Linked DNA regions of Macaca mulatta. The protein of the gene in region 2 purifies or fractionates together with the protein of the main gene of each other region. This does not show direct contact. Links are inferred from orthologs where the notes say so. Each region holds a gene or a part of one and is shown on either strand. Other genes may lie near its edges.

Region 1 (7,673 bases), on a different chromosome or scaffold from region 2:
TAAAAACACAAAAATTAGCCATGCAGGATGGCGGATGCCTGTAATCCCAGGCTTGAGGCTTGAAGCATGAGAATCCCTTGAACCTGGAAGGTGGAGGTTGCAATGAGCCGAGATCATGCCACTGCACTCCAGCCAGGGCGACAGAGATTCTGTTAAAAAAACAAAAACAAACAAAAAAAATCCATCATTTATTTCACAGATATGCAAAAGCCCCATCACCCTATCTCTAGCACTGACCAGTTTCTCACCAAATTAGCTGACAGCCTATTTCTAAGGTAGATGATTAACACATCACAAAAACTTAATTTTATAGAACATAAAATATTGCAAAAGTGTTAAGAATCAAGTATTTGTTTTGTTTTAAAGAAATAATCTGAAAATCAACAGATTTTTTTTTGGGAAAAGCTACAAGTAATTTAGAAAAAAAAACTTCAACACAACCATGATTAGGTCTAGCCCAAATACGGAAAAGCACAATAATTTTAAGTTTCTATTGGACAAATGACTCAGTTTATGGAAAATCAGAAATACTTTCCACTTTGCTCATGACAATAAAAAGAAAATATCAATCATCCTATGATGGAGAATGGAGCAAGCACACAGTAATGGCTGACCCCAACTAGCAGTCAACACAAAAACATTCATGTAAAGCTTGTAGATAAACTACAATTGAGATTTTTATTTGAGAATCAGTCTTGCTCTGTTGCTCAGGCTGGAGTGCAGTGGCGCTGATCTCAGTTCACTGCAAGCTCCGCCTCCTGGGTTCATGTCATTTTCCTGCCTCAGCCTCCTGAGCAGCTGGGACTATGGGCGCCCACCACCACACCTGGCTAATTTTTTGTATGTTTTTAGTAGAGATGGGGTTTCACTGTATTAGCCAGGATGCTCTTGATCTCCTGACCTTGTGATCTGCCCGCCTCGGCCTCCCTAAGTGCTGAGATTACAGGCATAAGCCACCGTGCCCAGCCGAAAATATCTTTAGGCTGAAAGTTATTTTCATTTTCTTTAAAATACAACTTCAGGCTAATAGAGCAGCAAATGCAAGTAGACAGTAACATGGGGGTTTAATAGGGCTAACAGCACTAACTAAATCAGAGCACTGTTGTGAGAATTATGTAAGTCAATGTAAGTAAATTGCTTAGAGTTTGGCACACAGAAGGTACTCAGTAAATTTTGACTTATCCCTACTTAGATGTTGGAAGAAATGTTAATCATCAAACTAATTACTGACAATATCTCACAAGTATCCTGGAATTTTTTCTAAGTCCAGGGTGCGTGTGTGTGTGCGTGTGTGTGTATGACAGGGTCTCCCTCTGTCACCCAGTGCAGGGGCATGATCATAACTCACTGCAGCCTCCACCTCCTGGGCTCAAGTGATCCTCTCACATCAGCCTCCAGAGCAGCTAGGATTACAGGACCCTGCCACCGCACAAGCTAACGTTTGTACATTTTGTAGAGATGGGGTTTTGTCATGTTGCCCAGGCTGGTCTCGAACTCCCGAGCCCACGAAATCTGTCTGCCTCGGCCTCCCAAAGTGCTGGGATTGTAGGCGTGAGCCACCGCACCCAGCCTTTTTGGATTCAGTTTTCCTTACAGCCTAAACTTACAAGGCACATCAGTAATTGAGTTAAGCTATCTCCCTGCTAGATAAAGACTAAAGTCATTTTGTTGTAGTCATTTAACCTCCAACCTGCGAAATGGAGGAAGAGAGATTTGTGGCTATTTCCAAAACGGTAAAAATATAAATGGAGGTTGGGCACAGTGGCTCACGCCTGTAATCCTAGCACTTTGGGAGGCCGAGGTGGGCAGATCACCCGAGGTAAGGAGTTCGAGATCAGACTGGCCAAAACGGTGAAACCCCATCTCTACTAAAAATACAAAAAAATTAGCCAGGCATAGTGGCACATGCCTGTAGTCCCAGATACTAAGGAGCTAAGGTAGGAGAATTGCCTGAACCCAGGAAGTGGAGGTTGCAGTGAGCCGAGATCATGCCATTACACTCCAGCCTGGGCGACAAGAGCGAAACTCCATCTCAAAAAAAAAAAATATATATATGTATATGTATATATTATATATACTATATATGTACTATATACTGTATGTACTACATATTATATATACTATATAAGTACCATACGCTATATGTACTACATAATATATACTATATATGTGCCATATACTACATGTACTATGTATTATATTATATATACACACACAGAAAAAAGTTTTATATTAACATACAATTATATTAACATAGAATTATGCAGAAGAGCATATTTCTGATAGTATGACATTAACCTTTTATGCTTAAAAATATCTTAAAGGATTTTTTGTATAATGAATCAAATTAAACCCATGATGTGAAGGTTATATGTATTATTTTTAACATGGAGTTCAAAGAATTGATCTCAAATCTACACATGCTTTCAGCTGGGATGGTGGCTCACGCCCGTAGTCCTAACACTCCGGGAGGACTAGGTGGGTGGATTGCGTGAGGTCAGGCGTTCCAGATCAGCCTTGGCAATAGGACAAAATCCTGTCTTTATTTTTATTTTTTTGAAAGTAAAAAATTAAGAAGAAACCTACAGATAAATCTACTAAAAGCCCATACCTTCTAACATACTATGTAAAGTTTGCCAAATGTGTGAAAGATCTAGAGTAGGTTATTACGTGAGTCACATACAAAATTACACTAACACTTGACATTCAAATTGTATTTTAAGTAGCCAATAATAACTCAGGCCCAGAAAAATACACCCAACATTCAAAAAATTTTAAATGCCCCCAAAAGGAAATAATTTCTCTCCAGATTTAAGTCATTTCGGGTAACCTTATAACCTGTGGGCAATATACTCCAGATTACCACTTTCAATTTAAATAGAACATCAATGTTCCCAAAGTCTTCAACTACAGAAGGGCTAGTCTTGTTGGTTTTTTATGGAATTGGAATTCTGGGTAGAGTCCAACTGAAGAAAATTCCTTGAAATTAGTCTGTAATAATTCAGACACAGAATCACTACAATCATAATAAACTGACCTCGTTAGCAACTGTAAAATATAAACCAATGTACCAAAAGAGGTGGAAGAGAACTTACTTTCACGTTTGGAAGTAACAATTTGACAACAGTTTTACCCCACTTGAATATTTTAAGTGAAATTCACTGTATATCTCCAAAAACAGTGGCAATCCCTAGAGAGAATAAGTCTTCTAAAATATGAAACACTCAGAAGATGTGGAAAAAAGAAAAAAAGGGAAACACTTATTTTCAAACAACTTAGTCTTTGAACCTTGAGGGTTGTTTCAAAATGTGTGAAGCATAAACACTAGGGAAGATCCGAAAGGTTTTAAAAATTATCTGCCAACTTCTCTGCACCTGTTAACGAAATTATGAACACCCATTTAAGCAATCAAAAAAAAAAAGCTCATATAAAATTATTCCAAACTTGCAAGATGTTTATATAGCGAGCTACACACAAAATTCTGCATTACTATAAAAAAGACAACCAACACTGGTGAACAAAAATCTCTATCTTCTCAAGGTAAAGCGTTTTCTCTTAGCGTAGAGTTGCCAGATCCAGTGTTGCCAACCTCCAACGGGATCAGAAACATGTAGCAAAAAGACGTTTAAAAAGAAAAAGAAAGAAATCACAGCAAAATGTTCTTCAAAGTATGAAAGGTCCAAGAACTTTCTTAGCTCCAAGCAAAGTTTCATGCCTGCTTTACAGATGGGTGAACTAAGGCAGAAGATCGGATTAATCAGTGTCTTTCTCAAGGTCACTCTAGTGCAAAAGAACAGTACACTCCGGACTCCCCATCTCAGGTCCTCGACCTCACACACTCCAGGGCGGCACAGCTCAACACGCTTGGCTCTCTTCGTACCCAAAATGCCACCAGGCACTCAGAGAAAGGAAACATTTCAGGCGCTCTCCGGGGAGCTCCCGCAGGACTGGGGTACCTGGGGCCCGCCCTCCCCCGGGGTGGCTGCCGTGGCCAGCCGTCCCTCCGTTCTCGTGGAGCGAGCGCCATGCCCCGCAAGAACCAGGGAGGCGGCCCAGGGCCGTGGGGGCTGCGAAGGGCCCGCCACGAGGGGCTTCACTTACCGTCGCTCTCAGCCCTGACAAGCAGGGACATGCCCTTCAGCCGCTCCACGTAGCCAGACGACACATGCCCGGTGCCCCGGTCGTCCCACTGCCGGTCCTCGTTGAGCGTGTACACCTTCACCCGCCGCCGGGTGTCGGTCATCGTGCCGCCCGGGAACCGGGGCGGGGGCCCCGCCAGTAGACGCCCAGGAAAGGGGTCCTGGAGAGGCGAGGGGCGAGGCGTGAGGGCGCCCGCGAGCGGAGGGCTCCCCGGCCTCACTGCCGCCGCTGGGCGCCGCGGGGCCGCGCCGCCGCCTGCATGGCCCGCTCCCGGGACCGAGTTCTGGGCCGCCGCCTTTCCTCGCCTCCGGCTCCCCGGCGCTATTGTCCAGGCCCGGCGAGCCCGGCGCCCGGCAGCCCCGAGGGGGCCGCGCAGCGCTTCGTAGCCTCCCGCCCCGCAGCGCTAGGAACTCGGGGCTCCCGTCACTGCCCTGCTCCCGCCTCCGCCATGATCTCCGCGAAGCAGCTTCCCGCGCCGCCGCCGCCTCCTCAGGCCGCTGCCGCCGCCGCCATATTTTCCTTCCTTATACCTGGCCCTGCCACCGCGGCCAGTGGCTCCCTTCCGCTCCCTGCTTCAAACGTCAGAAGCCGACAGGCGCCTGATCCTTCTGCAAATGCTACCACTGCCTGGGAGACTCTGAAGCCCCCGGCCGCCCGACCGCCCCGGGCTAGTGGAAGTCGGTTTCCCTCCGCCGCCGCCTCTTCCGTCTTCCTCACACAGCCAAAACCGCCGCCATCTTGGTTCGCCCCTCAAAAGCGGCGCGCGGGGCCACCCAGGGAGCAGCTGCAGGGGCGGCTCGGAGCCCCACCATTTAAAGAGACAGCAGCGAGACCGGGAGCCTTACTGCGGCGGAGGCTTCCGACGGAGGCGGGAGGCGGGCGCGGAGTTGCCGAGGTGGCGGGAGCGCAGGGAGCGGAGGAGGCGGGACGCTGACTGCGCCGGTGACAGCCCGAGGCTCCCTCGCGCCTCCCTGCACGCACCGTCGTGCGAGCGCGGGGCGGTGTGTGCGTCCGTCGCGCTCTGTGTTCGTCATCAGCCCCGCTCCAGGATGCGCGAGGGGCGTGGATCCGTCTGCGGCCTCTGCGAGCGGGCCCCGGCGTCTCGGCCTCGGGTCCGCCTGCCGCCGCCTTCTCTTGTTCCTTCCCCTGTCCCTGGCCTGCGGACGCCGGGCGGCGTGGGCCCGGGCCCCTACCCGCTTCCGAGAGCGTTTTCCCGGGGCCGCCTTTGCGGCTGAGTCGGGCGCTCGGGACCCACCCGGCCCCTTGCGGACTTGAAGGAATGAAATGGAAACGCTTCCGGGGAAGGTCGCGGGTGTGGGCGGCTAGGTTGGCGCAGCCTTGGGAGCCGCCATGGGTCGCGGACTGGCGTGGCCAGTGTGGAAACTTGGGACTGTTTGCGTTTTCTGGGCGTGGGACCGAGTCCGAAGTGACAATTCTAAAACTTCACCTTACAGCCTAGGCAAGTCCCAAGTGCTCCATTCCTTCATCCCCATCAGAACTGTCTGCGAGCCTTGTCGGAAAGGAACTTAAGGCGCTCACAAAAACAAATGCGACACTGCAAAATCGGGAGGAGTAATTCTCAGCATTAGGTAGTCCTGTGCTTTGAAGAGCTACTTGATGTCAAGTATTGCTAATCTTCACAGAGGAATAACATTCTGTTTCCTATCATGCAGCTCATGTGCCACTATTTTGGTGGCTTTTACCATTTGCTAGGCCTGGTAGGTCGGGCTTGTCCGCTAGGAATATAATGCGAGCCACACACATAACTTTAAACTTTGCGGTAGCCACAAAAAGCACGAAGAAACTGATGAAATTAGTGTTAACGTTTCAGTGCGGTATTTTCAAAATGTTATTTCAGTAATCAAATTATTAAAGATATACGTTCCTTATTAACCTTACGATGTCTTTAAAATGTGATATATTTTGTCCTTCCAGCAAGTCTCTGTTGGGATACTGAATTTTCATCAGAAATATCTGTGTTTAGATTTTATTGGAAAAAAAATTGTTTTTGAGACAGGATCTCTCTCTTGTCACCCACCCTGGAGTGCAGTGGCTCAGTCTCGGCTCATTGCCGCTTCAACCTCGTGGGCTCAAGCGATTCTCCCACCTCAGCTTCCCAAGTAGCTGGGACCACAGGTGTATACCACCACTCCCAGTTAATTAATTAAGTTTATTTTTTTTTTTCGGTAGAGACGGGTTTCACTGTTGCCCGGACTGGTAGAGTATATTAAATTTACAGTTGAGAATGTAGATTCACATATTCTGTTATTCCAATCATACTTAACTTTTCCAAAAGCTGAATCAAGTGTCAATTTTTAAATTTAGCTGGGCGCGGTCGCTCACGAGGTCAGGAGTTCAAGACCAGCCTGGCTGACATAGTGAAACCCCATCTGTACAAAAAAATACTAATTAGCCGGTCATGGTGGTGCGTGCCTGTAGTCCCAGCTACTTGGGACGCTGAGGCAGGAGGATCTCTTGAACCCGGGAGGCAGAGGTTGCAGTAAGCTGAGATTGTGCCACTGCACTCCAGCCTGGGCAACAGAGCAAGACTCTGTCTCAAAAAATAAAATAATAATTTAAATTTAAAAATCAAGTAAAAAAATTCAGCTTGTGAGTAGCACTAGTCAAAATTTGAAGGCCCGGTAGCCACATGTGTCTAGTGGCTACAGTTTTGGAAGATTCGAGTGCTTGACATTGCCAGGAATCTTTTAAACCTGCAATGTGGCTGGGCGCGGTGGCTCCCACCTGTAATCCCAGCACCTTGGGAGGCCAGGGCAGGCAGATTGCTTGAGGCCAGGAGTTCGAGATCAGCCTGGCCAACATAGCAAAACCCTGTTTCTACTAAAAATACAAAAATTAGCCAGGCATGGTCCCAGCTCCTTGACTCTGAGGTACAAGAATCGCCTGAACCTGGGGAGGCGGAGAGTGCAGTGAGCCGAGATTGTGCCACTGCACTCTAGCCTGGGTGTCAGAGCAAGACTCTGTCTTTAAAAAAAAAGAAAAGAAAAAAAGAAACCTGTAAAGTATTGGTGTTACTATACCCATCTATTAGGAAGGAAGCTAATAGCATGAACAGGGCTGAGGGGTTTCTAGGATACAGGACTTTCAGTTTTAAATTCCTTTAGAAGTTGGGACCTTCCTCCCCAGCAACTTAAAATATAAAGATATAAACAGGGCGTGGTGACTCACAGTTGTAATCCCAGCACTTTGGGAATCCGAGGCTGACGGATCACGAGGTCAGGAGTTCGAGACCAGCCTGGCCAACATGGTGAAAACCCCGTCTCTATTAAACATACAAAAATTAGCAGGGCGCAGTGGCACGAGCCTGTAATGCCAGCTACTCAGGAGGTTGAGGCAGGAGAATTGCTTGAACCCGGGAGGCAGAGGTTGTGGTGAGCCAAGATCACGCCATTGCACTCCAGCCTGGGCAACAAGAGTAAAACTCTGTCTCAAAAAAAAAAAAAAAAAAAAAAAAAAGGCCGGGCGCGGTGGCTCAAGCCTGTAATCCCAGCACTTTGGGAGGCCGAGGCGGG
Region 2 (7,874 bases):
TATAGACATCATGTATACAACACATATGTAGCTACACAGGCAGAAGAAAACCAGTCCCAACAAGATCATTTTTCACAACCAAACTTTACAGAGAATATAAACAGGGATCCTTATCATTCCTAGCCTAATGAAAAAGAAAAAAAATCTGGTTTAAAAGTTAACTGATGGCCGGGCGCGGTGGCTCAAGCCTGTAATCCCAGTACTTTGGGAGGCCGAGATGGGCGGATCACGAGGTCAAGAGATCGAGACCATCCTGGCTAACACGGTGAAACCCTGTCTCTACTAAAAAATACAAAAAAAAAAAAACAACTAGCCAGGCGAGGTGGCGGGCGCCTGTAGTCCCAGCTACTCGGGAGGCTGAGGCAGAATGGCGTGAACCCGGGAGGTGGAGCTTGCAGTGAGCTGAGATCTGGCCACTGCACTCCAGCCTGGGCCACAGAGTGAGACTCCGTCTCAAAAAAAGAAAAAAAAAAAAAAAGTTAACTGCTGATGGGGTGAAGAAAAAAGGATGCCTGGGGGAAGAACCTCTTATTCTTATGCAAATGGTTCCTCTACCAGGGAGAGAAGCTTAATTACTGTCAGCCTTGGCCAGGAAAGGGGAAGATGCTGTGGACATGTGGCATTCTCCAGCCCCAGCTGGGAGGAGAGAAGGAGCTTGGAGCCACGGCTTGCCTGTCCTTCCCAAAAAATGAAGGCAAAGGCCACGGAAAGGCCCTTGACCCCGGGGAGGGTTGGGGGTGGGGGCACGGTTTCCCTACCCTCAGAAGTCCATGCATGAAAAGGCTTAGAAATGACAGAGAAGTTTTGAGTCCCCATGTCACTCACCACTTCTCAAGTCCCACATTGGGTGCCAAAGCTGTTGTAGGACTTTCTCCTTAGTTCAGCTAAGAGCTGGGTCCTTGCAACACGGCCATGAAATACTAGGCTTGCAGATGCCTTGAAGGGTGAGAATGGAATTTATTGGGCAAAAAGAAAAAAAGGGAAACAGAGACTCTCCCCAAAGCCAGAGTGCTTCCTGCCTGGGAGACTGAATCCCAGGTTCCACCAGGAAAACGAGGGGCCAGGTTCCTCCCCACTGCGAATGGCACAAATTTCCCAAGGTTCACCCCAGTGTGCATTCCTCCCAGTGCACAGGTCAGTAGGAGATTCTGCCAGGGAACCCTTCCCACCTGGCTGTCTTACCAGCACTTTGGCAGGCTGACGTTGGAGGACTGCTTGAGCCCAGGAATTTGAGATGAAAAAAGTATAAAAAAGTTAGTGGGGTGTGGTGGCCTGCACCTGTAGTCCCAGCTCCTTGGGGGCTGAGGCGAGAGGACTGCTTGAGCTTGAGGGGTTGAGGCTGCAGTGAAGCTGCCCGGATCATGCCCACTGCACTCCAGCCTGGGTGAGACAGTGAGACCCTGTCTGCAAAAACAAAAGATTTATCTACATAGCAAAGTGAAGAGGAAGGATTAATAAATACAAGTGTTTCTCAAGGAAATGTCTTAGGAAAAGGGAAGACAGATAAGATCTCTCTCTTTTGCCAAAAGAGAACGTTCAATCTTATTTTTTACATGTATACACTCTTCCTTAGGGGCAAAATGGATGTTTGATGAAAGATTCACCAACGACGAGAATCTACATCTGATAAAGAGGAGACGAAGACATATCTGAGAGTGTGAGTCAGGGGTTCCAGGAAGCGGGGGAGGAATCACGTTGGTCCATCTGTGTCTATTTTTCTTCTCACAGAGAAGAAAGAGACTTGGGCCTAGGAGCAATATGGCAGAAACACACATCAGGCAAGTCATTCCTGACAGGCAGAGAGAAACTGCCTACTCATCGGGATGCCACTCTCTTATTCTACTCTCTATTGTGGGCAAAAGGTAGCCCCAGGGTCCTCCCAATTCTGTGGCACTGAGTATGGAGAGGGCATAACTGGATAGCTGAGTAAAAATCCAGTGCACATTGCTGCCTTACAGCCAATAATAGTTGCTCACCAGTGGTATGAAGCCTCTGTGTGCCTAGAACTGAGCTACTGGGTAGATACAGTGTGTGTGGGAAGGGGAGTCTCCAAGGGGAGTCATCCCCAGAAGGGGAAGGTAAGATACTCTTCCAGGATCAGGCTCACCTTTCCCATCCTTGAAGGGGGCTGGGGATGGAAGGTTTTATTTTTTTACCATTTTGGGCATGGTACACACTCTATCAGCAGAAAAGGGAATTAATAGGAGATTATTTGGGTAGACTGATGGCCTTAAAACAAACTGGGTATTATCTTGTTCTGTCAGGGGAGGAGTTGACACTTTCACTAACAGTTCTGAGCAGACGCAACAGCAGGACAGACCAGAAGTGTGACCTAACTCAGGCTGCCTCAGAGAGATGGCTGTCAGACTGTCTCTACTGATGGGACTCTTACTGAGGGGGTCCAGGCATTCAAGGGGTTGAGTTTCCCAGAAAGTTCCCCATCGAAGCTTTAAAAATGTATTCCCTGCAGCCTTATGCTCTTGCAGTTCCAATACAGCATTGGTGTTTAAAGCCAAACTACTTTATAATTGATTTGCCATCATCCAGCTTTATATTTAACACTAATTTAATCTGGTAACAAAGGAAAGGCTCGTTAAAGGACGGCATTCATAAAATGCTTCCAAGCACCTCTGCTTAACTCGAAGGGAAAATAAAAGGGACTGTTTATTTGGTAGGCAGAGGAGAACACCGCCACGAAACGGTTCTCCACTGAGCAACTCCTGCCTTTGTCAATTATACACATTATTTAGTAACTTTTTTGGAGACATGGACCTTCTCAAACTCCCCAGTATGCTTTGAAACTTTGATAAAGAAATGTACAAACAAAACTCTAAGTGTTCTGGAATTAATTTCAGACGCTTCATAGATCCTCGTAAGTACTCACCGTAAGAAAAATTCCCCATTTCTGGTACTCCAATCTCACGCCCTTAGAATTCTCCTAAGACTTATTCCCTTGAACAACTTTCCCTAATACCAAATCAAACCTAGATCCAGCTGGGACGCCAAGCTTGCGCTGTGGTAACGCTCAGAAGGCCTCCTTCATCAGTAAAACAGATGCCTTAATGGAAGTGACGGGCAATCAACGCATGGAAAGGGGCTTGGCTTCCCTCTTTTTTGGGTTTCTCTAGGTTGTCTAGATTGGAAAAAAATACACGCTTCGTCCTGCGGAGTTCGGTACAAACGCAATTGCACATATGCAAAGGCAAACCAGGAGCGCAAGTGCGCGTCCGGGGACCGCGACCGGGAGGGGCGGGGCCGAGCGGGGCGAGAGACGGACCGCTCCTCCCATTCGTCGCCGCCTTAACTCTTTGCTATCCTTCCGCAGAGCTTCCTCTTCTTTCCCTCTGACCTCGGAAAGAAGGGGGCGGGGCCTTCGGGGGCGGAAGTTGCAGTGCATTGTGGGTTCGCCTGGAGCGGTGGAGTTGATCCTGAATGAAAGTGGCGCGCTGCCCCTGACGTTACCCGGATTTGAGCGGCTGGAATTCGGATTACTGCTGCGATTCGGGTGTCTCGGACCCCGGTGCGCACCGGACCACGGGGAGGCGGCTGCAAAGGCGCGGCGAACGTTGGTGAGGGAGGGCAGCTCTGCGCAGCCCCCAAGACATGGCTCACAACAAGATCCCGCCGCGGTGGCTGAACTGTCCCCGGCGCGGCCAGCCGGTGGCAGGTAACCTGGACTGGGGGGTATTCGAATCCCCACACTCCAGCGTGCCCGGGGGTGGGCCGACTGAGGAGCTCAGCTTTTGGTGGTTCTGTGCCCGTTAGTGGTATTTCAGGAGTGGGATATGCTCCATCTGATTACGCTTCGTGGACGAATGTTTGGGAACATGAACGGGAGGGGATGGTCGGCGGATGGGGGGCACTTGTCACTATTCCTGCCAGGCTAACTGTGCGAATGTGAAGGTAGACAGTAGGTTGGTGGCAGGAGGTGAGGATCCAGGAATACAGTGGGCGTACTTTGAGTCTTAGTAGTTTGTGAACCTTTTAGGGTTCAACCTTCCCCTCGAATTAGAAGGGATGAGTGTCAGTCTTGAGATGGAGGAGGATAAGGAGGGAAGGGGCGGTTCCCAGCGGTGAAATGGGGTCACATTGAGACTGGGAATCTGGAGGGTGTTTTTGTTAGTTTTTTGTTTTTATTTTTTTTTGTGAAACAGGGTCTCTCGCTGAGGCTGGCGATCCTCCCACCTCAGCCTCCCAAGTAGCCGGGACTACAGGCTCCTGCCATCGCACCCGGCTACTTTTTTTGTTTATTTAATATATATATACACATTTATAATATATATATTTGAGACATAGTCTCTCTCTGCCGCCCGGGCTGGAATGCAGTGGCGTGATCTCGGCTCCCTGCCTTAGCCTTCCAAGTAGGTGGGATTACAGGTGCGTGCCACAACACCTGGCTAATTTTTGTGTTTTTAGTAGAGACGGGGTTTCACCATGTTGGCCAGGCCGGTCTCCAACTCCTGTCCTCAAGTGATCCGCCCGCCTCGGCTTCCCAAAGTGCTGGGATTACAGCCGTGAGCCAGCACGCCCAGCCATAATTTTTTTGTTTATTTCTTGTGGAGACAGTTTCACTATGTTGCCGAGGCTGCTCTTGAACTCGTGGACTCAAGCGATGCTCCCACTTCGGCCTCCCAAAGTGTTGGGATTATAGGCGAGAGCCACCCTGCTTGGTCTGGTTTTTGTTTCTTTAAATCATTTTTCTTGTAGTTTTTTTATCTTTATTGAGCTTGAATACAATAGGCTTTAAAGTGTACAGTTTGATAAATTTTGACTATATATACACAAATACATCTCTTTCCTAGGAAACAACCATGAAACCATCACCCCTCAAAGTTTCCTCCTGTCCCTTTTTAAATCTCTTTGCCTGGCAACTGCTGATCTGCTTTCTGTAATTATAGTTTGCATTTTCTAGAAATTTTTAAATAATTGGAAACATATAGTGAGTACTCTGCTTGGGGTGGAAGGAAGTGTGTGTGGCTTTTTTCACTAAGCATAATTATTTTGATACTCATCCAGATTATGCATGTATCAATAGTTTATTCCTTTTTTATTGCAGTGTAGTAGTCCATTGTTCTGGGTATACCACAATTTGTTTACCTCTTCATCTATTGATGGTCATTTGGGTTGTTTCCAGTTTTTAGCTATTACAAATAAACCTGCTGTGAACATTTATGTACAAGTCATTGTATGGACATATACTTTCATTCCTTTTGTGTAAATCTCTAGGAGAGGAATGGCTGCATCATATAATAGGTGTATGTTTTAAGAATTTTAAGAAACTGCCAACCTGTTTTCCAAAGCGGTAACACTTGATAGCCCCACCATCAATGTATTATACAGAATAAATTCAAAGGACTTAAAAACTCGCAAAAAATTTGGACACTTCACAAAATAAGATATATGAATAGCCAAAAAGCTATGATGGCGTGGTGGTGTGTGCCTGTAATCCCAGCTACTCGGGAGACTGAGGCAGGGGAATCACTTGAACCCGGGAGGCGGTGGTTGCAGTGAGCCGAGACTGCACCACTGCACTCCAGCCTGGGTGACAGAGTGAAACTCCATCTCAAAAAAAAGTAATTTGTACTTAATCGTGTAATTTATTAGTAAGGGTTCTCTACAGGGACAGAACTAATAGGATATATATATACACACACACGTAAAGGGGAGTTTATTAACTATTAACTCACACAATCACAAGGTCCCACAATAGGTTGTCAGCAAACTGAGGAGCAAGGAGAGCCAGTCTGAGTCCCAAAACTGAAGAACTTGGAATCCAGTGTTTGAGGGCAGGAAGCATCCTGTACAGGACAAAGATGTAGGCTGGGAGGCTAGGCCAGTCAAGTCTTTTCACATTTTTTTTCTGCCTGCTTTATATTCTAGCTGTGCTGACAGCTGATTAGATAGTGCCCACCCAGATTAAGGGTGGGTTTGCCTTTCCCAGCCCACTGACTCAAATGTTAATCTCCTTTGGCAACGCCCCCTACACCCAGAATCAATACTTTGCATCCTTCAATTCAATCAAGTTGACACTCAGTATTAACCATCACAGTAATTTCTTTGATATTTTGCATATTGAGGAAAATGTTATGGCAGTTCAAACTTATATGTTGCAAATATTAGGATTCACTTTACTAGTACTAGAAGTTCATAATTTTCCTGAATCAGAAAGAAAATGGTACTAACTACATATAATATGTTCTCCTGTGAAGTCACCTTCTCTAATGAAACCAGACTTGCAATGAGAGAGAGCTCTTGGAGACAGGGCCAAGCTTTATTTTCTGGAGAATTGTTTTTTCCTCCTTCTGAGTTAATAGATTTCAGGTGAATACTTGGAAGAAAACAAACTTATAATTTCTTTCCCTTTTTCCTTTTTTTTCCTTTTTTTTTTGAGACAGGGTCTTGCTCTGTCACCCAGGCTGGAGTGCAGTGGCGAGATCTTGGTTCATTGCAACCTTTTCCTCCCAGGTTCAGGCTATTCTTCTGCCTCAGTCTCCTGAGTAGCTGGGACTACAGCTGTGCACCACCGTGCCCAGCTAATTTTTGTATTTTTAGTAGAGATGGGGTTTCACCATGTTGGCCACGCTGGTCTCCAACTGCTGACCTCAGGTGATCCACCTGCCTCGGCCTCCCAAAGTGTTGGCATTACAGGCATGAGCTACCGCACCCAGCCCTCCCTAGTTTCTTAAAGGTATATCATTCAACATAAAATTATTTCATACCTGCTATGTAAAGAGCTTACTAGGAACTGTGGGAATGTAAATATGAGACACAGCCAGGTGCATTGGCACATACTTGTGGTCCCAGGTACTGGGGATAGTGTGATGGTGATAGTGATGGTGATTTTGAAGTCATTTTATTTAGCAGATATTTAAATGTCTACTTTGTGCTAGTCCTGGGTGCTAGGGAGATGGCTAAGATATATTACCCTTAAAAAGCATAGTCTCATGGGAGTAGCAAACCATCCATTTTAAGCACAGTTCTGTTGTAAAAAATGTAGCAAAGACTATTGTAGTATACGATGGGAATCAGAGGTAATAAACCTAATTCCCTGAGGTTGAGGAAGAAGAGATGGGAAGGAAGGAGATCAGGTGAGACTTCCCAGAGGAGGTCGTACATGAATTATCTTGAGTAAATAGAAGTTTTCTAGATAAATAGTTGGCAGGGGGTGTTTTTGGAAAGTTTCTGTTAGGATAGGATGATGTAGGATGATGATGGGAGAGATAATAGACTGAAAAAGTGTTTTTGTTCTGGAAGATATAAGTGAGGTTATGAGGTTGGAGAATAGCCTGATCATAAGGCAAGTAGGGTGTGATAAGGTATCTTAATATTCATATGCTTTAAATTTTCACTGGTATACAATTGCAGTTTTTTTCAGCATCAAGATGAGATTATTTGAATCCAGGTTAAAAGCTTACTTTGACTTTTCTGTGTTTAATGAATTGATGGAGAGAGGAATGGAAATAGACTGATTAGGAACTTGTAGCCCAGGTGAAAGACAGTAGTGATGGTTTAGAAGTGAGACATGAAGCGTAGAAGGCTAATTTGAGAGATATTAAGAAGGGAAAATGGATGGAACTTAATGTTGTATTTAGAATGAGGGAAAGAGGGTCAAAATTTAGTCTGAAATGTCTGGCTTATGCAGTGAGATATTTGATATTATTAGGGCTTATGGAGAGAGAAGCAGGTTGGAGGCGATACTAAGATCCTGATTGCTCAAATAGAGATCTTTAGTAAAGATATTTTTTAAGAACATTTTAATTTTATTTCAGTAGTTTTTGGGGAACAGCTGGTTCTTGGTTACATGGATAAGTTCTTCGTGGTGATTTCTGAGATCTTGGTGCACCTGTCACCCAAGGAGTGTACACTTTAGTAGT
Region 3 (7,655 bases), on a different chromosome or scaffold from region 2:
ACCCAATCAAGACAAGACACACAACTGAAAAGGAAATATTCTCACTAAATTATTCAATGTAGCTTAAGGTCTTGTCTTTATTCCACCTAAAAGCACCTCTCATCATCCCCAACCTAGAATATACGGTACAGTCTTGGAAAACTATGATCTAAAACATGAACCTGCCAGGCGCGGTGGCTCAAGCCTGTAATCCCAGCACTTTGGGAGGCCAAGGCGGGCGGATCACGACGTCAGGAGATTGAGACCAACCTGGCTAACACGATGAAACCCGTCTCTACTAAAAATACAAAAAAATTAGCCAGGCATGGTGGCGGGCTCCTGTAGTCCCAGCTACTTGGGAGGCCGAAGCAGAAGAATGGCGTGAACCCAGGAGGCGGAGCTTGCAGTGAGCCGAGATCGCGCCACTGCACTCCAGCCTGGGCGACAGAGCAAGACTCCATCTCAAGAACACCACCACCACCACCAACAACATGAACCTGACCATTTGGTCCCCTGCCCAGCTTCAGCCAGCCTGGACTAGAAGCACATGCTCTGCCTGCTGCCTCTCCCCATTTCCCACCCTTCAGGACTGCCTCCCCATCACCAGGCCTCAGCTGCACTCAACTACTTGCACCATGCTCTCTCAGTGCTGGCCATCATCCATGCTGGTTCTTTGTATAAAAAGTCTCCTCTGGGGCTGGGTGCAGTGGCACGTGCCTGTAATCCCAGCTACTCAGGAGGCTGAGGCAGGAGAATCACTTAAACCCGGAAGGCAGAGGTTGCAGTGAGCCAAGACTGTGCCACTACACTCCAGCGTGGGAGACAGAGCGAGACTTCATCTCCAAAAAAAAAAAAAAGTGTGCCCCCCATTAATACTTCAACTAAAATATTCCCTCCCTAGCTGGGCATGGTGGCTCACACCTGTAATCCCAACACTTTGGGAGGCCAAGGTAGGAGGATCACTTGAGCCCAGGAGTTTGAGACCAGCCTGGACAATCTGACAAAGCCCTGTCTCTACCAAAAATACAAAACTTAACCAGGCATGGTGGCAGATTCTTGTTGTCCCAGCTCATTGGGAGGCTGAAGTAGGAGGATTGCTTGTTCCTCAGGAGGTTGAGGTTGCAGTGAGTCGAGACCATACCACTGCACCCCAGCATGGGTGCAAAGTGAGACCCTGTCCCAAAAAAAAAAAAAAAAAAAAAGGGCTGAGCAAGATGGCTCATGCCTATAATCCCAGCACTTTGGGAAGCTGAGGCAGGCAATCACTTGAGGTCAGGAGTTCCAAGACCAGCTTGGCCAACATGGTGAAACTCCATCTCTACCAAAAATATAAAAATTAGCCAGGTGTGGTGGCATACCCCTGTAATCCCAGCTACTCAGGAAGCTGAGAGAGGAGAATTGCTTAACCATGAGGTAGAGGCTGCAGTGAGCCGAGATCACGCCACTGCACTCCAGCCTGGGTGACAGAGCAAGACATCATCTCAAAAAAAAAAAAAAAAACCAACCTTCCTCCTGCAGGCAGCCACCCCCGCCCCCTCTCCCCCGAGCAGAGTCAGGCACATCCTCTACGCTCACAATTCTCTGTGCTCCCTCCATCACAGCCCTGACCACCGTGAGCCTCCCAATAGTAGGGTCCAGTTCATCTCAGGCACCGCTGGGTCCCCCAACATCACCCAGCCCAGGGCCAAGCACAGAAGACTTCAGAAATATTTGCTTAACACATAATCTTGACTAGCCCACAATGAAGCGCGTTTTAACAACCCAAACTATGACAGGACCACAGGCTGATTTCTAGGAACCTTGTCATCAGTCCCCCTCTGCCAGGTCCCAGAGAAGCCTCTTTACAAACCTGGCTCCTCCCTCCCAGTGGAGAGAGTCCCCGCCACTCTCTGCATCACCTCAGGGCTTGGATGTGCTCTTACTGTCCTCAACATCCCCTGCAGTAACTGTGTATCTATAAAACTCTCTCTGCCCTGAGACTGAGATCTCCGTAAGGGAGGCTATGACCCCAACATGACAAGTCAAGGAACATTTGTTGAAATAAATGAACAAGTTACTGTAGCTGTGATGGGTGAACCAGCAGCTCCCTTCAAAAGTAGCTCATTATTTGCCATCCATCCCTACCTGTCTAGCCACAGAACCCTGTCCTGCAAGGACTATGTCACCATTTGGCTGTCTGAAAAGGTCATCCAATCCTGTTCCTGGTGGTGGGGACAGGCCTCACACTGCCCTCCTGCCTCACCTGGTAACTGAAGAGGAGCCAGCAGGGAGGAGTCAAGTATGGTGTAGTGCTGGGGAAATTAGACTAGTACAGCGCAAACGAGAATGTCCCAGACAGGAAATGGAACTGGGGATCTTGGTCTCATTTCCACCAGACTTTAACCAACAAGCAGTGTCTCCAAGCCATGAATCAGAGACCAAGAATCCAGTGCTACAGCTTAGAGAAAAGGCCCTCCCTGTCACTCCCCCACTCATCCCTCCCCCACCACAGCATCCCAATTTCTCCAACTATTCACTACCAGGCACCTCCCCAAAGGGCACAACAAAGACTGGCAATCAAATGTCCACATAGGATAAGCAGGCAACATAAATGAGTGGGACAAATCACCCAAAACACATGGCACTCTCCATCTACCAAACAATTTCCAGAACACAGCCACGTGAAATCTCTTCCTTTTCTTCACTCTGCCACGAGACAAGCAAGATGATAAATGGCAACTAACATATCCTGGGAACTGGAGAAAATTCCCAGCTGTAAGTAGGACAGCCACTCATCAAGCAAACGGCTGCTCTGCAGAACAACCCTGGGTCCCAGCGTGCCAGCTCCTTCCACTTTCCCAGAAAAAGCAAGAAATCTTAATCTTTATGATAAATCTCCCTCACAAGCATTGGCAACTTATTTAAAAAGCCAATTGAAGTTTCTGTGCATCAAACAAGAGATCTATAATCACCCTGTCACCTATTTACTAGTTTATGATTGCTGCCTACTAAATGTCAACTCCAAAAAAGTAAAGATTTCCTACCAGACACCTGGGAAGTAAGTGGAACACAGTAGTAGATGGAAATACTGATTTGTTCAACGAACGAATAAAACTAAAATAAGTTTAAAAGGAGGATACTGGGCTTGGTGCAGTGGCTCACGCCTGTAATCTAGCACTCTGGGAGGCCAAGGAGGGTGGATCACCTGAGGTCAGGAGTTCAAAACCAGCCTGGCCAACATGGGGAAACCTCATTTCTACTAAAAATACAAAAATTAGCCTGATGTGGTGGTGGATGCCTGTAATCCCAGCTACTCGGGAGGCTGAGGTTGCAGTGGGCCGAGATCATGACAATGCACTCCAGCCTGTGCCAACCTATGGAGATGCTGTCTCAAAAAAAAAAAAAAAAGAATAATGGCAAATAAAAGAACATTTGAAATCAGAAATGCCCCAGGAAATGTTGGTTTTTTGGTTCCCGGAACAGAGGTACTCAAGAGACCCAAAGCCAGAGTGATCCTTTCAAAACATTAGATCATATCTTCACTTGCTCACACTTTTTCGAGGTTTCATTTTACTCAGTTAAAACCAAATTCCTTACCACAGCTTTCAAGATCCTATATGACCTGGCTCCCATAAATTCTTCGTTGCACTCACTCTGATCCAACCAAACTGGACCCCCTTTTTTTAGGCAGTGGTGGGGAGACAAAGTCTCACTCTGTCACTCAGGCTGCAGTGCAGTGGTACCATCACAGCTCACTGCACCTTCACCTTATGGCTCAAGTGATCTTCCCACCTCGGCCTCCCAAGTAACTGGGACTACAGGAGCGTGCCACCAAGCTCAGCTAATATTTTTGTAAGACAGAGTCTTGCTCTGTCGCCCAGGCAGCAGTGCAGTGGCGCGATCTCAGCTCACCACAATCTCCATCTCCCTGGTTCAAGCGATTCTCAGCCTCAGCCTCCTGAGCAGCTGGGATTACAGGTGGGCGGCACCAAACCCAGCTAATTTTTTTGTATTTTTAGTAGAGACAGGGTTTCACCATGTTGGCCAGACTGGTCTTGAACTCCTGACCTCATGTGATCCACTGCCTTGGTCTCCCAAAGTGCTGAGATTACAGGTGTGAGCCACCAAGACCGGCCTCAGCTAATTTTTTTATATTTTTGTAGAGACAGGGCCCCACTATGTTGCCGAGATTGCCCTCGAACTTCTGGGCTCAAGTGAACCTCCCAGCTTGGCCTCTCAAATCCTCGTTAATCCTTGAACACGGCAGACACACTTCCATCTTTGTACCTGCTGGTCCCCCTCACTGGAATACTCCACTTCCAGCTAACCACGACTCACTCCCTCACCTCCAACAAGTCACGCTGATGACCCTATTGCAAGTGCAACCAGGACTCTCCATTCCCCTTTTCTGTTCTCCTTTTCTCCAGAGTACCTTCTAGCTTACTATATAGTCCATTCCTTGGCTATATTTATTTACATTCCCGAAGGCAGACATTTTTAAAATCTGCTTTGTTTACTGGTGTACCCCAAAGACAAAGAATTGCACCTGGTACGTAGTGGGCACTACAAATAAATTTCTGGAATGACTAGACGTAACCAAAAAAAAAAAACAACTAATGCTGAGTGCTTACTATATGCACACAGAGTAAACTTCAAAAACATCACCTGTTATCTCACTGGACCTAACACATTTCTCGCCTCCAGAACCTGTCCCCTTACTTGTCTTCGACTTGCCTAATTCTCTATCTCTTGCGATAATCTGGGAGTTCCCAGAAGCCAGAGTCCGCTGTGAACCCCTCGAGCCTCCCACAGTGGGCTTTCTACCCGGAGTCCTGCCCCCAGGTGCAATGTCTCCCCCGGCGCCCCAGCCACAGACCTCGGCCTCCTCGCCGTCACTGCTGCGCTCGCTGTCCTCCTCCTCGGAAAAGTTGCTGTCCTCGCTGTCCGACATCTTCCGCTGCTGCTGGGAAAGACAGCAGCCTCAGCGCGTCCCACAGTCCTGCTCGCCACCCCAAGCCTCAGTTTCCCCGCTGGTTCCCTGTGAGAAGAAAACCCCTTAGCGCGCTTCCGGCAGGCTTGTTTTGGCAATTGCGAACTGGAGTGCGGACCCCCTCCTACGCCACATGCTAGACCTCCCCAGTTTCCAAATCTGTTCTCTACACCTCCTCGGCCTCCGGCGGCCCCCGGAACTGCCACCTCTGCACACGCACTTACCGCTCGGGCTCCACCTCCGCCTTTGGTACCAGCTGCTGTTCGCACGACGCCCGGCTGGGGCTGACGGGTCCTCTCGCGAGAACCTATCCGTTGGCCTCGCCTAACACGAGATTTCCGGGGCTGGCCCAGGCGACGCACTTCCAGGTCGCCATCTTGAGAGAGGCAGGGCTAGCCTAGGCGGAGTGAGGGGGCGACATCTGCGGAGGGTCGGGAGGGGAAAGGTTTTTTTTTTAACCGCCGACTCGGCCTTTTCCAGGCTGGGACTCGTGTTTGAATTGAGTGAGCCGTTTGTTCGTTAGTCCAGAACACGAGCGCGGTAGGCCAAGCCGCGAGGAGGCCGGGAATCAGCGAATAGCAAACTATTAAAGAAACCAGGCTTGGGCCGGGCGCGGTGGCTCAAGCCTGTAATCCCAGCACTTTGGGAGGCCGAGACGGGCGGATCACAAGGTCAGGAGATCGAGACCATCCTGGCTAACACGGTGAAACCCCGTCTCTACTAAAAAATACAAAAACCTAGCCGGGCGAGGTGGCGGGCGCCTGTAGTCCCAGCTACTCGGGAGGCTGAGGCGGGAGAATGGCGTGAACCCGGGAGGCGGAGCTTGCAGTGAGCTGAGATCCGGCCACTGCACTCCAGCCTGGGCGACAAAGCGAGACTCTCTCTCAACAAAAAAAAAAAAAGAAACCAGGCTTAATCTCCTAGGCCCTCTAAAGCATCCCCAGGAGATACGTATCCCCATGTTGGAGAGAACGCTGAAGCTCAGAAAAATAAACTCGGTGGAAAGCGTCAGACCCAAGCGTCCTCGCCAAGTCTGACTGACCGTGAAAGCCCTTGTTTTTCTTTTCTTTTCTTTTTTTTTTTTTTTTGTGGAGTCGGGCTGTTGCCCGGCCTGATCTCAAACTCCTCAAACTCAAACTCAAAAGCTATCCTCTGGCCAAGTCCTTCCAAAGTGCTGAGATCACAGGCGTGACCTGCCGCGCCCGGCCTAAGTCCCTATTTCTCTTTCCAGGCTTCCTAAGTTCATTTAAAGCCTAATTTATCTATTAGTAATAACAGCTGACGAGTGGTGGCAGAGTGGACAGGTGTAATGGAGAGATGAAAAATGAACCTTCCCCTGTAATCCCAGCGCTTTGGGAGGCTGAGGCGGGAGGATCACGTGAAGCCAGGAATTTGAGACCAGCCTGGGCAACAAATTGAGACCCCATGTATCCAATTTTTGTGTGGGTTTTTTTTTTAATGTGGTGTGGTGGCTTGTACCTGTGGTCCCTGCTACTCCAAAGGCTAAGGTAGGAGGATCACTTGAACCCAGGTTGAGCCTTCAGTGAGCTATGACTGCACCACTGCACTCCAGACTGGGTGATAGAGACCCTGTCTCTTAAAAAAAAAAAAAAAAAAAAAAAAAAATTAAAACAAATATTAAAAAATTAACCTGATAGAGGAAATTTTAAAAATCAGAAGCCTATGTCGGGCGCGGTGGCTCATGCCTGTAATCTCAGCATGTTGGGAGGCCGAGGCGGGCGGATTGCCTGAGGTCAAGAGTTCAAAACCAGTCCGGCCAACATGGTGAAACTCCGTCTCTACTAAAAATACAAAAAAGCCGTGCGTGGTGGCATGCGCCTGTAATTCTAACTACTCAGGAGGCTGAGGCAGGGGAATTGCTTGAACCAGGGAGGTGGAGGTTATAGTGAGCTGAGACTGTGCCACTGCACTCCAGCCTGGGTGACAAAGCAAGACTCTGTCTCAAAAAAAAAAAAAAAAAAATAGAAGCCTCAGGACATACTGGTAAAATTTCTCACATAAGTATGACACACCTGGATTCAATTTACCTAAGCTTAATATATACCTACTTAGTTACTGGGGATTGGGGTGCAGTTATGATGGAAGCAGGCAGTGAATATACCTGCAGGTGCGTGTTTCTCCCCAAAAGCACACACACCCCAATCCAGCAAAACCAAATTGAGTACCAGATAGATTGGGGAGGGGCTGAGCACTCTATAGAAAGGTGTTTCCTCTTCCTTAAGCTTGGTTCTTTTAAATAGCAGTTCTTGAAAATAGGATTCTCGGCCAGGCCCGGTGGCTCACGCCTGTAATCCCAGCACTTTGGGAGACCAAGGCAGGCCGATCACCTGAGGTCAGGAGTTCAAGACCAGCCTGGCCAACATGGTAAAACCCTGTCTCTACTAAAAAAATACAAATAGTAGCCAGGTGGTGTGGTGGCACACACCTGTAATCCCAGCTACTCAGGAGGCTGAGGCAGGAGAATCTCTTGAACCCGGTAGGTGGAGGTTGCCGTGAACAAAGATGGCTCCAGCCTGGGCAACAGAGCAAGACTCCATCTCAAAAAAATAAAAAAAAAAAAAGGCTGGGCGCGGTGGCTCAAGCCTGTAATCCCAGCACTTTGGGAGGCCGAGACGGGCGGATCACAAGGTCAGGAGATCGAGACCAACCTGGCTAATACGGTGAAACCCCGTCTCTACTAAAAAAT

The links. The genes of interacting proteins can lie anywhere in the genome.
Region 1: the proteins of RNGTT (region 2) and PPP4R3A purify together in Homo sapiens (affinity purification with mass spectrometry; 3 studies listed by BioGRID and IntAct, with this or other methods). This does not show direct contact. The link is inferred for Macaca mulatta from reciprocal best matches to the Homo sapiens genes RNGTT and PPP4R3A.
Region 3: the proteins of RNGTT (region 2) and SUPT5H purify together in Homo sapiens (affinity purification with mass spectrometry; 3 studies listed by BioGRID and IntAct, with this or other methods). This does not show direct contact. The link is inferred for Macaca mulatta from reciprocal best matches to the Homo sapiens genes RNGTT and SUPT5H.

Annotation. Positions count from the first base shown.
Region 1 is NC_133412.1:164,756,125-164,763,797, forward strand, and holds the start of PPP4R3A (serine/threonine-protein phosphatase 4 regulatory subunit 3A), read right to left. Parts: upstream 5,155-7,673; 5' UTR 4,671-5,154; exon of another isoform or gene 4,301-4,670; 5' UTR 4,244-4,300; coding exon 4,102-4,243; intron 1-4,101. UniProt on the Homo sapiens protein: Regulatory subunit of serine/threonine-protein phosphatase 4. May regulate the activity of PPP4C at centrosomal microtubule organizing centers.
Region 2 is NC_133409.1:97,010,705-97,018,578, forward strand, and holds the start of RNGTT (mRNA-capping enzyme), read left to right. Parts: upstream 1-3,393; 5' UTR 3,394-3,603; coding exon 3,604-3,667; intron 3,668-7,874.
Region 3 is NC_133424.1:50,546,193-50,553,847, reverse strand, and holds the start of SUPT5H (transcription elongation factor SPT5), read right to left. Parts: upstream 5,155-7,655; 5' UTR 4,910-5,154; coding exon 4,835-4,909; intron 1-4,834. UniProt on the Homo sapiens protein: Component of the DRB sensitivity-inducing factor complex (DSIF complex), which regulates mRNA processing and transcription elongation by RNA polymerase II.